Linked DNA regions of Arabidopsis thaliana. The protein of the gene in region 1 purifies or fractionates together with the protein of each later gene. This does not show direct contact. Each region holds a gene or a part of one and is shown on either strand. Other genes may lie near its edges.

Region 1 (7,697 bases):
ATTGCCCAATTTCTCAGTACTTTCTTTCTGTTGTATCCTCTGTTTTCTTTCAGTTATGTGAGTGTGTGTGTATGCTCTTGAGAGTATCTTTGGCAAAAACTATTTATCTAATCTTCAAGCTATTCTAAAATAAATCAATTAGTTAACTAATGCAAAGATTGCGATGTCTTAACTATGGAGATACTGACTAGTGAGAATAGTATGTAAGGACTTTAGTCTGGTGGAAATCTTACTTTGGAACGTTTCTCCTGGCGAAAGAAGTTGACTTAAGAAGACTTTGAACGTTCTTATCCTTAAAGTTTCCTTGCTTTGTCATGTCTGAAAATGACAAGTAAAATATAGACGTAAGCTTCAAATCAGACAAAACAAAACACATCAGATTTCTGGACCTATTCACCTCTCTATAAATAACAGAAACGGTTAGAGCAGCAAGTTTGTGTTTTTCACCATCAATTTTGTACCTTGACCGCCGTAAACGCAGGGTGAAGAAAGTCCACCTAGTGTTTATCTCCAACTGTTTGCTCGTCTCATTACTCTGATGACTTTGTGGCTACCCAAAGAATTGCGAGTAAAGCCAGCCATATATTTGCAGACTCTGGTCATCCTTTAAGTTAGAGGCTTTGCTACATCAAATATTCACATAAACCATAAAGATTAAGTCCACCAAGAAATATCCTTTATTCGGAGTTTTGTCTGCTAGTATCATCAAGTTTACTTCACCACGATACTCCAATAGTTTCCAGATATTATATAAGAATGAAAATCTATTACAAAGCATTTTTATAAAAAACATACCATTGCCTTCAAGGGACCAAGGAAGAACAGTAAGATCCTGGTGAAGAACACAATGAGATGAGGGTTCTAGTACAAAATCTTATCAACAGTTACAGGCTACGCACCTGCTTTAAAGATTCTTCACCGAGTGATTTGTATCTTCTGCAGAAATTTAGTAACAAATTAGCAAACTCAAACCAAGCAACATCATTAGCATGAGACGTAGACCAAAAGAAGACTGAACTAGATTCCATTATCTGAAGAACAGCAAGAGAAGCTGAGAAGGGCTAATGAAAGTGAAGAATTACTGATACATGATAAATTAAATCCGATGGGAACCTCTCAACAGAACCAAAATACAACTTTGATAAACTTCAACAAAGTTTTTATTAAAGTGGGGGAAAAACATGAACTAAAAACCAGTAATAAAAGAAAAGATCATTCTGCAGCATTCATCAGCATATTTAGTACATGCTGTACTTGTCGTTCGTCGCTTCGGGTCGAATGCTCTTGTAGATGGACATGGCAATTGGAAGAATGGCTGTGAGAGCGATTTGCAACTGATCCGAGCTGCTGGTTCTGACTGTGATCTGTCCGCTCATCTTGTTGTTAAGTCCTGCACGAAGCGCAATCTTTGAGTTCCTTCCAACAGAGACTTGAGATTGGAGATTGGCTCCAAGGGCTAAATCGCCTCTCCACTTTACCAGAGACAGCCCAAAAGAAGATTGGTCCTGTCCAATTGGGAAATCAGCTTCCCTAAGCCTGACCTCGAGGTTCGCACCATAGGCCGAATCTCCCTGTGATCGCATTGTCCCAGTGCTGCCCACAAGCACCAACCTTTTCCCCAGTGCTATTTGGTCCTCGAGTTTGACCCCAGTGGCGATGTTCTCTCCCAAGAATGTCACTGACCCTCCAACAGTTGTCTTGTTCTTCCTCAAATTCTTGAATTTGGTTTCTCCTCTGACCACATATGCCAGCTGCTTGCCTACATTCTGAATATCGAACCCTGCCATGGTGGATCCATTCTCCCCGTGCTTAGCAGACACAGAGGAGTCCAGATGAATGTTGAACTCTTTCTTGTCCTTGGTGACTTGGACAGTAGCTGTGGCAGGGAACCGGCTAGCTAGAGCAAGACTGTGTTCTGCATTGACGCCGTCATATCCACAGTCATGGTCCCAACCATGGGTATCCAACACTGGCCTGGTTAGGAGTTGTGAAGTGGGTTCCAGATATCGGTATCGGTAAGCTGAGTTATCACTATCAAATGAAGGTGGCAAAACCATATCGGGTAATGGAACTGGCACTGCAGCTGGAGCCCCGTTTTCTGGATCATCTTCTTCTCCCGGATAACCAAACTCACTTTCACCCAGCTTCTTCCCGTTTTTCTTCATTTCTTTCATCCTCTTTAATTCCTCTCTCCATTGCTTCTTCTGCAGGAGCTTTACACGGTAATCATACTCCTCGAAATATGCCTTTCTCTGTTCATTTGAGAGCTTTGCAAGTTGGGTTTTTCGAAGAGGCTTAAATGGTGGCAGCTGGTCATACTCATCATCTTCCCCATCTTCCTGCTCAGAATCAGACACATCATCAATTTCGATATCAGAGTCAACACTATCACCACCTTGGTCTCCAGGGAGCTTAGGATGTGCACGGGACTGCAACAGCCAAGACAACAAGTAAGGGAGAGGCGGGGATCTAACTCGGAAACCAAATACTTTACGATGGTCCAATGGTTCTTGAGGCCTCAATAGAGAATTTGTTTCTGACAAAACCTTCAGGGAGTAACACAATAGCAACAGCTGAGATCTCCAAGTTTGGCCATTCGGGAGAACCTTCACTCCCTCCCGGTTCTTCCTACACAAGGGGTGATTCTCAACAAGTGAAACTGGATTCATCAGACTTGGATTCATCAAGCGTAGATCTCCAACAGCCTGTCCTATAGACTGTTGCACAATATGTGAGCACTGCGCTACAAACACATCATAGCTCAATGGGGTGCCAGATGGGCCATCAGGAGGGGCAGAAGCCGCATGGGTCAATGTCACTATAGCGTTTTTCCATATGGATGTACCAAGAGAAGCAGTAATCGTCCTTAGCAAGGGCAAATTGTTCAAGTCCCTGGTCTGGGTGTCAAGACGATCTACATATAGTACAATATCAGGGGGACACTTCTTCATTACCTTCTTTACAGAGGACAACATTTTTGCATTTGTACTTTGATCCATCGCAGCAGACTTCAAACCCGGAGTATCAATAAAGGTAATCTTGACACCATTCACCGTTCCAGAAATTTCTCTAACCGAAGTGGTTGAGAGCCCAAAAGCATCAATGGACGCAATCTGGTTTCCCAAAATGGAATTTATAGTAGCACTTTTTCCCACCCCGGCTTTTCCAAGGACCAGTATGTTTAGGGAGAAGATCAATTCTTCGTTGCCCTCAGCCTCAGACTCCACAGCCTTCTTCTTTGCAGCATCAAGACTGAATAACTGCCCTGCTTGTCTCCCAGCAAGTAGTGCAAGACGGTAAAGAACCTGCGCTGCAATTGAATCTTCTGCCGAATGACCCAACCTTTGCAAAAGCCGCAAAAACTTCACACGGAGGCTTTGCAACTTTTCTAATTTCTGTTTCTCTTCCTCGCTCAAGTTAATCTCAGTCTCATCTGCCATTGTGACATTAGAATTGGAAAAGATGTTGGAACGGTTTGCACGTGGAGCTGCTGCAGGCTTCAAGGGCCTTAACGATGAACTCAAACCAGCAGGTCGATCCATAGAGAAAAGCTTCGTGCCATCCTGAGATGTTATGGTAAAATTGCCACCTTCTGAACTTCCACCACCAGTGGCTGCCTTCAAAAGCGCAGCCAAAGCTGCAGTATCAAACATTTTCTCCTCACCTTCATCCTCTGTGTCTACATCCTCGTCAGAATCGGTGACAATCTGGCCATCAATCCTATCTGACATATTGTTAGAAATGTTTGCTTCATCAGAATGTGCCTCTATACCAGAAGAAGCCTTTTCCAACTCTGCTAAGAACTGTTTTGCAGCTTCAGAACTCCCAAATATCATCTCTTCAGTTTCTTCTTCACTTTCAGACCCATCAACCCTGGTAACACCTTCGCCAGAAGGTTCCTGGTCCACTTCCTTGCCTCCAAAGCTAAACTCACGAGAAGAAACAATGTCTTCGACTGGGAGCTTGTTTTCATCCTCTTCAGCACTGTCCCCTTCGACAACTTTCCGAACCTCAAACTGTGACTCAGCTGCAGGAATTGAATCCTCTTCTGCATCAACTGAACCCACTTTTAAACTTTCAGAAACAGGCAATTCTTCTACTTCCACACCTACTTTTGGTTCGTCTGGCTCTACTTTGGCAGCCTCTGATATTTCCTTAACAGCCAATTCAAAATTTCCATCATATGCAGCAGTCAGGTCATCAGGTTCCTCAATATTTGAGATGGTCTTGTCAACCTCATCATCTTTATCATCTTCCTTAATTACAGCCTCCTTAGCCGCCCCGACAACCACAACCCCTGGCTCTGCAACATTGATATCAGCATCAACAGAGTCCACCACAGAGGAGTCAACCATAGAGTCTCCTTCACTAACCAACTTTCCTCCTCCCTCCTCTGTGGCTTTATCGGATTCAAGTTCAACTTCACCACCTTCACCTTGGCCAATTGGATCAAACTTATTATGCACATCAGGGATGTTGCCATCAGTTTCCAGCACCTCACTCACCTCTACGTCTCCAACAACAACAACCCCTGGCTTTGCCACATCTACATTCACAGCTTCAATAGCAGATGAGTCCACCACAAAGTCTCCTTTGTTGTTTAACTTAACACCTTCTTCTGCATCATCGACTATGCCACCGAGCACACTCTCCTCCTCTTTGGTTCCATTGTCAGCTACTGCACTAGCTGCCTTGATTACTTCAGCATAAGTCATACCCTTCTCCAATCCGTTGGCTTTTTCCACATCCTTTGGTTCACTCCCACTCTCGGCAGCTACAACCTCTGGCTCTACAGCACTGGTATCCACAGATTCTAACTTAGAGGAGTCTGCAATAGAGTCTGATTCGCTAGTAAATTTTTCTTCTACCTCCTCAATGGCCTTGTCAGACACAGGTTCAAATTCACCACTATCATCATCCCCAATTTGATCAAACTTATTAGCCACTTCAAGAGTTTCAGCATCAGCATTAATCTTCAACTCCTCACTTCCCTCTGCGTCTCCTACAACAACCACCCCTGGTTTTGCCACATCAACATGCACTGATTCTACAGGGGACGAGTTCACAATGACGTCTCCTTTATCAGTTAACTCCACACCCTCTTCTTCAATAACATTATCACTTTTATCGTCAACATCAACTTTTCCACCCAACTCACTCTCCCCCTCATCATCTTTTTTTGTTCCAACATCTTCTTCTTCCACATCCTTCACTTTACTCTCACTCTCCCCATCTGTGGAAGCCTGTTTCACATCAACATCAACACTCCCATTTTCAATCTTACTCTCACCATCGTCTTTAATATCCTCCACGTCCTCCTTAACCTTCTTATTCTCCTCCACAACCCCTACACCATCAGAAACAGCCTCCGGCTTCGGAGATAACGATGAAACATCATCTACACCAATTGTCTCACCAGAAACCACCTCAGGCTTCGGAGTAGCCTCAGGAGTAGTAGAATCCTCCTTTAAAGAACCATCCACCTCGTCGGAAACCTTCCCATCACCCACCAAATTCGGCTTCTCCTTCTCGGAGTCAGATAAATCATCAGCTCCAACCTTATCCGAATTACCAGACACAGCCTCCGATGAGGAATCCAACTCCTTGGCACTACTCACAGCACCACCATCCTCCTTATCGGCGGCTGCAGCAGCAGCGGCGGCGACAACAGAAGCATAGGTTTTTCCTGATAACAAAATATCCTTCCGATTAAAACCCTATTCCCAAAAACGCAGATTAAAGAAGATATAAACGAGAAAGAAGAAAAACCTGATTGCCCCGAAGAAGCGTAGAAGGGGTTGGTTGGTTCTGGAGTAACCGACTTTGAGTCCATTTCCGCTTTGCTACTGAGACTCTTTCTCCGCCAAACTTGTGGAGGAAGGAGATAGCGATAGATAGATAGGGTTTAAAGGAATTTACCCTTTTTTGTGTGAAGGTTTTTATGATTGAGAATTTGGCTGCTCTCTCTCTTTTGAAGAAGAGAGAATTGGGAGAGATAAGGTCACTCGGCGAACAAAAAATGACTCTTCGTTTTTCTTCTTTGCCTTGGGATTTTATCTTCTCAGTTTGTGTTTTGAGGATGATGATGAAATTACCGAATTACCCTCGCTTCTATGTTGGTGAAGTTTCCAAGAGGGCTCTCTTTTGTGCTACGCTTTAAACTGTGTCGCTTCATTGGCTCAAGCCAAAATATATAGAGTTTCTTTTTTTATTTGAGGAAGAAGTACAATAATCATTTGTGGTTAAAATTTGAAAAACATTGTATCATTTTAAAAAACAGTAATTTTTTTGTCAAGAATTTTCAATTTTTGTTGAGTAAATTTAGAATATTTTAGTCACTTTTTGGAAAGTATTTACTGTTTAATATTTTGTTTTTATTATGCACAATTCTCCAAATGTTAAAATCTTCCCCAATGGAAAATGTTTTGATGGGCTCACTAAATCTAGGGTTTTTGAACTCATGAGAATTAGGGTTTTGTTATATCTTCTCTTTACTAAAAACCAAAAAAACCACACAACAACAAAATAAAATAAAACATTTAAAATAAAAAACGAGATAACATTTTGAGATTTGGGTTTTATAAAGAAGAAAGAAATCTTTTTTGTATCTTTGTTGATCCTCCCTACCCGAAATTGCTTGGCCACAAACGATTTTCTCACCATTATCTACGAATTATCTTGGATTTTTGTATAACACGGATTCCATATATTAGGCCGTGATTTTAGTTTTCAGATGGGCTTTTATAAGGCCTCCCCCTAATAATAGCCCGTATACATGATTTTATTATCAATTAAAGACATTCAGATTTCAGATACAACAACCCATACTGCAAAAGAATCTGACCACATGCCAAATTTTGTTTTTCGAATTAAACTCCTAAACTACACAAAACTTGTGAATATGATCTCAGAACTATACTAACTCAATGTGATTTTTTCACATTTTGCATACTAAAAGTAAATAATTAGTTGAATGTGAAATCAGGTTAAAAAAAAGTTCTTGAATTAACACAGATTATTGATCCATGAAGCTACAAAATCTCAAGTTCTAATGGATTACAAAGAACAAAAAGGAAGAAAAACAACATTTTGATTTCGTAATAGAACTCTAGACGTAGAGACAAAGTAAAACCAAAGAATTAACTGATGTCTCTGCACAATACTTTATCATCCATCTTAGTACAACAACAAGCAAAGACACAAGACATAAATATAGCGAGAAACATAACACAAATCCTAAACGCAAAACCGATTCAAACTTGATTGGTTTGTACCTTAACCGCCTTAAACGCCGGATGAAGCAACCCGAGCTCGTCTTTCATCTCCAACGGATTGCTAGTCTCGTTCCGCACTCTCTTGACTTTACGACTAGCCAAAGATTTGTGAGTGAAACCATAGATTTGCAGAATCTGGTTATCTCCAAAGTTAAAGGCTCTGTCCATTTGTTTTAGACACCGTTCCACCGGGTAATCACCAAATTTCCCACACGGTTTGCAACCGACAAAGTGAGTCACCAATGGCCATCTGTGATCTCCTAGACCCGGGTGGTAGTTTTCTATCATTTCTTCATATCTGTCCACAAGAATCCCCCAGTAACCGTGAAGATAGTATCCACTTTCTAGGTACACCTATAACAACAATGCAGTGGCTCAAATGAGTAGCTCAACAAAATCCAAACCAAGCAAAGATTTGAGTTT
Region 2 (5,915 bases), on another chromosome or scaffold:
ACTGATAGCTTTAGATATCACTCGAGAAAGTTCTCTATCGTCTTCGCTAGGCTCAAACTTCTGCGATATGTATTCCTTCATTGATACGCCTTTGTCCCATACCTGGTTACAAACACAAGATGATTGACTGATGTATTTACCTAAATGCACAAACAGATAGAGAACTTTGTCGTACCTTGGTATTGAAGCCAGTGGGCTGGTTAGTTCCGGCAGTGTTGATTTCTGCAACATCATTTACCTCTTCTTCTCGCTCTGTTGGTTCTGGAAAAGCCATATCTTGAATCTTCTTAGTTATAGCTTGAGTTGCGTCAGAGACTTTAGCATAACCAGGTGCTAGCTTCTCTGTCACAGTTTCTGTTACTGTCTTGCTTGGACTAATAGGTTCCTGCTGGCTCGTGCACTCTTTCCTTGTCTTCTCAGACGATTCTGTTACTATTGTTGTTGTGTCAGAATCAGCAGGCTTCTCTTGCTTGACATCAGATAAAACATTCTTCTCAGAGATCACAGGATGTTCTGTTTTGGAACCATTACAATCTTTTTGTTCTTGTTCAGCGTCCTGTTTGGCTGGGAGAACAGACAAGACATTTGTCTCAGTGATCACAGGATTCTCTCGGGGATGCTGCCTTGCTGTCTCCTTTAACTCTTCAGGTGCCTTCTTTGATTCATACACTGAAAATAACACAAGAAGATCGATCAGTTTTAAGCAAATTCCTAAAAGGGTGGTTGTTACTTATGAAGCTTTGTTCAATTTCATTTACTTGGGGCTCCAAGATATTCAGGATCTTCTTCTTCTTCTTCTCCTCCTTCTTCTCTGACTTTACGGTCTTTTGACTTGTCACGTGGTGACAATGACGCATAACCAACTTCTCTAACTTCATGATCTTCGGATCTGCAAAACGGTGACATGGTTGCATCACCTTCTTCATCATGTCTCTTCTTGGTGCTGAGACTGTGCTGCAGTTTTTTCGCCTTATCCTTCATTTTAGAGAACAAAGATTTCTTATGGTGAGAATGTTCTCCATCATTTTCTTTTCTTGGTGAACCAGAAGGTGACCGCTTTGAAGCTTCACCAGCTGAAAAAAAGTATGACAAACAGATTTCAAACCAAGAGTTTGCGTCCAAAATCATCAAATCACTGAGAGTAAACAAAATGGATATTATCATTTCTTGGAGAGACTTACATTGGTGACGCTGGCTAAGTGTTGAGAAGCTAGGATTTCCAGAATGATCAACATGTGTTTTTAAGCTTTCGAGCTCAGCGACGGGGTCTAGTTGACGCGACATTTCAGAAACACAAAGTTCTTGTAGATGTTCTGTTTAGGAACTCTGATCCTCTGAGAACAACATAAGATAGATATAAGACAAGAAAAACTGTGCATGTCGTCTTGTTTCTCCGAGGTTCTTGGACAAACCATAAGAAAAAAAAATGCTTAAAATAGTCATGGTCTCTTATTGGAGAAGCATGAAGGGAAGACAAAGTCTTGGCCTGAGAAATTGACGTTTGAAGCTGAATTATAGGACTCACATTTGTAGAGTTTTCTAGAGAAAAACTGGAACCATAAATAACAAATACACTGTTTAAAGAACTTAAGCAAAACTTGTCTCTGAACTTTAATGACCAAAATATTAAGACTATGTGAGAAAAATGTAAGAACACATTTGTCTGGATAAAATGCATAAGTTACAGAATTATCACAGACTAAACATTTTTCAAGAACCTAGTCAGAAGTTTACTCATTTGTCTCACTGAAACTGCGTGCTGTTTCTAACTAAAGTAAACGTCACGCAGTTCTATGTTAAATAAACAAAACGTAATGTAGTCTAAAAGGAAAGTCTCTCTACCTGCTTAAAACCCAAAAGTACATTTTTTCGCCGAAGCCAAAAATCTTCACTTGCTTCTTCTTCTCTCTGAAACCTTATCTTCTCCGCCCATGGCCGCCTTCTCCGTCAACGGGCAGCTTATCCCGACGGCAACAAGCTCCACTGCTTCCACCTCTCTCTCTTCCCGTCGGAAATTTCTCTCTCCTTCCTCGTCTCGTCTCCCTCGCATCTCCACTCAATCTCCTCGTGTCCCATCGATAAAATGCAGCAAAAGCTTACCTAACCGAGATACAGAGACTTCCTCAAAGGATTCTCTCCTTAAAAACCTAGCTAAACCTCTAGCCGTAGCCTCAGTCTCCTCCGCTGCTTCATTCTTTCTGTTCCGAATCTCGAATCTTCCGTCGGTTCTGACCGGTGGTGGAGGAGGAGGAGATGGGAATTTCGGTGGATTTGGTGGTGGAGGTGGTGGTGGAGATGGAAATGATGGTGGATTTTGGGGGAAATTGTTTTCTCCTTCACCAGCGGTTGCTGATGAAGAACAATCACCGGATTGGGATTCTCATGGTTTACCGGCGAATATCGTTGTGCAATTGAACAAGCTTAGTGGTTTCAAGAAGTATAAGGTATCTGATATTATGTTCTTTGATCGACGGAGACAAACCACTATTGGTACTGAAGATTCCTTCTTCGAGATGGTCTCGATTCGTCCTGGTGGAGTTTACACTAAAGCTCAATTGCAGAAGGAGCTTGAAACCCTAGCTACTTGTGGAATGTTTGAGAAAGTTGATTTGGAAGGGAAAACGAAACCTGATGGAACCCTAGGTGTTACAATCTCGTTTGCTGAGAGTACATGGCAATCTGCTGATAGGTTTAGATGTATTAACGTTGGGTTAATGGTACAGTCGAAACCTATTGAGATGGATTCAGATATGACTGATAAAGAGAAGCTTGAGTATTACAGGAGTTTGGAGAAGGATTACAAGAGGAGAATTGATAGGGCACGGCCTTGTTTGTTGCCTGCACCTGTGTATGGTGAGGTTATGCAGATGTTGAGGGATCAAGGGAAAGTGAGTGCTAGGCTGTTGCAGAGGATTAGGGACCGTGTTCAGAAATGGTATCATGATGAAGGGTATGCTTGTGCTCAAGTTGTGAATTTTGGGAATTTGAATACTAAGGAGGTTGTTTGTGAAGTTGTGGAAGGTGATATAACTCAGCTAGTTATTCAGTTTCAAGATAAGCTTGGTAATGTGGTTGAAGGAAATACTCAAGTTCCTGTGGTGCGCAGGGAATTGCCTAAGCAGGTATGTTTCTCAAGTTCTGCTATGTCAGATATGTCATTGTTGATGTGATCATGATTTAGTATAGGATGATGACGAAAGTGTAGTTATGTTATAGATTGATATGTCAGGAAAAAATTGACAGACTTTTAACTTGAACTTGCTATTTAAGTCTGATGGATGTAAGAGGTTTAATTGCTTCAATGAACTCATTGTACAAATGTTTTATATTCCAGACATGTAATGATATATCTCATTTGTTATGTTAGTTTTAGTGATAGTTTCGATGTTTCGTTGAACAGCTTCGCCAAGGCTATGTTTTCAACATTGAAGCTGGGAAAAAAGCTCTCAGTAACATCAATTCATTGGGGCTGTTCTCTAACATTGAAGTCAATCCACGCCCAGATGAGAAAAATGAAGGGGGCATTATTGTTGAGATCAAGCTTAAGGAGCTAGAACAGAAGTCAGCTGAAGTCAGTACAGAATGGAGTATTGTTCCTGGGCGTGGAGGAGCTCCCACATTGGTATGAATCCTTCCTTACTGAAATAAGTACAGATTGTAAAATTTGAGAAGTTCCATTGAGTTTGATTGTTATTGTTTATATGCATCAGGCTTCATTCCAGCCAGGTGGTTCTGTTACTTTCGAGCATCGAAACCTCCAGGGTCTTAATAGGTCTCTCATGGGTTCAGTGACCACTAGCAACTTCTTGAATCCTCAGGTACATTCGATAAGCTTACATGATTGATACATCTCTGGTTCAACTTTTCGGTTGATAACATCCATCTATTTCTGTTTCTATGTGCTAAGCACAAACCTTATGTTACATTTTTTCCTCAGGATGATCTTTCGTTTAAGCTTGAGTATGTGCACCCGTATCTGGATGGTGTTTACAATCCTCGGAACCGAACATTCAAAACAAGCTGCTTCAACAGCCGCAAACTTAGCCCAGTATTCACTGGAGGACCTGGTGTTGAGGAAGTGCCACCAATTTGGGTTGACCGAGCTGGTGTGAAAGCTAATATAACTGAGGTAAGCTTGCCAATCCTCAGTGCCATAATCGACTTATTTTGTCCTACAAACACTTAACTGAAACATATTTTCATGCAGAACTTCACCCGTCAGAGTAAGTTTACATATGGACTTGTGATGGAGGAGATAACAACCCGAGATGAAAGCAGTCACATTGCTGCAAATGGTCAGAGACTACTACCTAGCGGTGGAATCAGTGCTGATGGACCTCCAACAACTCTCAGTGGTACCGGTGTCGATCGAATGGCTTTTCTACAAGCCAACATCACCCGTGACAATACCAAATTTGTTAATGGGGCAGTTGTTGGACAGAGGACTGTCTTTCAGGTTTGCTTTCCCAATGATCAAATGAGATTATAAGGATGAGTCATCTGTATATTGTAAGCTTTACACAATGTATTTGCAAATCACAGGTTGATCAGGGATTGGGTATTGGGAGCAAATTCCCGTTCTTCAACCGCCACCAGTTAACCATGACAAAATTCATTCAGTTGCGGGAAGTAGAACAAGGGGCTGGTAAGTCACCACCACCAGTTCTAGTCCTCCATGGGCATTACGGAGGCTGCGTTGGCGACCTTCCAAGCTACGATGCTTTTGTCCTCGGTGGTCCGTACTCTGTCCGTGGCTACAACATGGGAGAGCTCGGTGCTGCTAGAAACATTGCCGAGGTAATACAGCAAACACTCAAAACAAAAACAGTCTTTTCTCCTAAACCCGAAAAATATGTGTGTCTAATTTGGTTTCATGGATTACAGGTCGGTGCTGAGATCAGAATACCCGTGAAGAACACACATGTCTACGCTTTTGTTGAGCATGGAAATGATTTAGGAAGCTCAAAGGATGTGAAGGGAAACCCTACAGCAGTGTACAGGAGAACGGGTCAGGGTTCATCCTATGGTGCAGGTGTGAAACTCGGTTTGGTCCGAGCTGAGTATGCTGTAGATCACAACAATGGAACCGGTGCTCTGTTCTTCCGATTTGGAGAGAGGTATTAAGGTAATGTGAGAAGCAGGCTCATGTTATCCACCTTAGTCTTTTCATTTTCTCTGTTGAGGATCTGCTATTTTTCTCTTTTTTCCTTTTCTTTTGTGTTTTCTTTTTTTTTTTCTACTTCTTTTTCAATAATTGTTTAATGTTAGTGTTTGATGACGTTGCTGAGTTGTGCTGAGAATCGGGAAAGAGTTTGTTCTTCGTAATATGTCTAGACTTTTGTAGGAAAATTTTGAAACTTTCAAGTTTCAAAAAATCGTATGAATAGTTGACAAATGAAAATTTATATTGGTAACACGTCTGTCTGCATCTGAGTTCTCTTTTAAAAATAACGAATAAGGGATAGTGCAATAGAATTTAATCAAATGTCAACACCAAACATCTACAAAGTCAAGTGTCAGAGGCTTTCGAAAACTTGAAATTGTTGACATTAGGAAACAAAGCATATCTTCAATCTTCTCCATATTTTGAAATCTTTCAATTTGATTCTGTTGAGATGGTAGATGCTGTCACTGGTTTCGTTTTGAATAAGATCGGCGGCTATCTCATCAATGAAGTATTGGCGTTGATGGGAGTCAAAGATGATCTAGAGGAGCTGAAGACGGAGTTGACGTGCATCCATGGTTATCTTAAGGATGTTGAAGCTCGAGAAAGAGAAGATGAGGTCTCGAAAGAGTGGACAAAACTGGTTTTAGATATCGCCTATGATATCGAGGATGTTTTGGACACCTATTTCTTGAAACTTGAAGAAAGATCACTAAGACGAGGCTTGTTGAGATTGACCAACAAAATAGGC

The links.
Region 2: the proteins of TOC159 (region 1) and TOC75-III purify together in Arabidopsis thaliana (affinity purification with western blotting, with the first as the bait; 2 studies listed by BioGRID). This does not show direct contact.

What each region holds. Positions count from the first base shown.
Region 1 is NC_003075.7:1,102,902-1,110,598, reverse strand, and holds the start of TOC159 (translocon at the outer envelope membrane of chloroplasts 159), read right to left. Parts: upstream 6,034-7,697; 5' UTR 5,834-6,033; coding exon 5,770-5,833; intron 5,687-5,769; coding exon 1,239-5,686; 3' UTR 900-1,238; exon of another isoform or gene 833-899; 3' UTR 796-832; exon of another isoform or gene 624-795; 3' UTR 462-623; intron 319-461; 3' UTR 234-318; exon of another isoform or gene 1-233. Other genes in the region: XT2 (UDP-xylosyltransferase 2), read right to left, coding at 7,254-7,628. UniProt on the Arabidopsis thaliana protein: GTPase involved in protein precursor import into chloroplasts. Seems to recognize chloroplast-destined precursor proteins and regulate their presentation to the translocation channel through GTP hydrolysis. Required for chloroplast biogenesis.
Region 2 is NC_003074.8:17,215,313-17,221,227, reverse strand, and holds TOC75-III (translocon at the outer envelope membrane of chloroplasts 75-III), read left to right. Parts: upstream 1-1,816; 5' UTR 1,817-1,931; coding exon 1,932-3,122; intron 3,123-3,400; coding exon 3,401-3,622; intron 3,623-3,710; coding exon 3,711-3,818; intron 3,819-3,937; coding exon 3,938-4,129; intron 4,130-4,207; coding exon 4,208-4,456; intron 4,457-4,542; coding exon 4,543-4,797; intron 4,798-4,884; coding exon 4,885-5,124; 3' UTR 5,125-5,415; downstream 5,416-5,915. Other genes in the region: AT3G46750 (low-temperature-induced protein), read right to left, coding at 1-102, 176-669, 759-1,073, 1,182-1,284; AT3G46735 (uncharacterized protein), read right to left, coding at 5,749-5,854; AT3G46730 (NB-ARC domain-containing disease resistance protein), read left to right, coding at 5,616-5,915.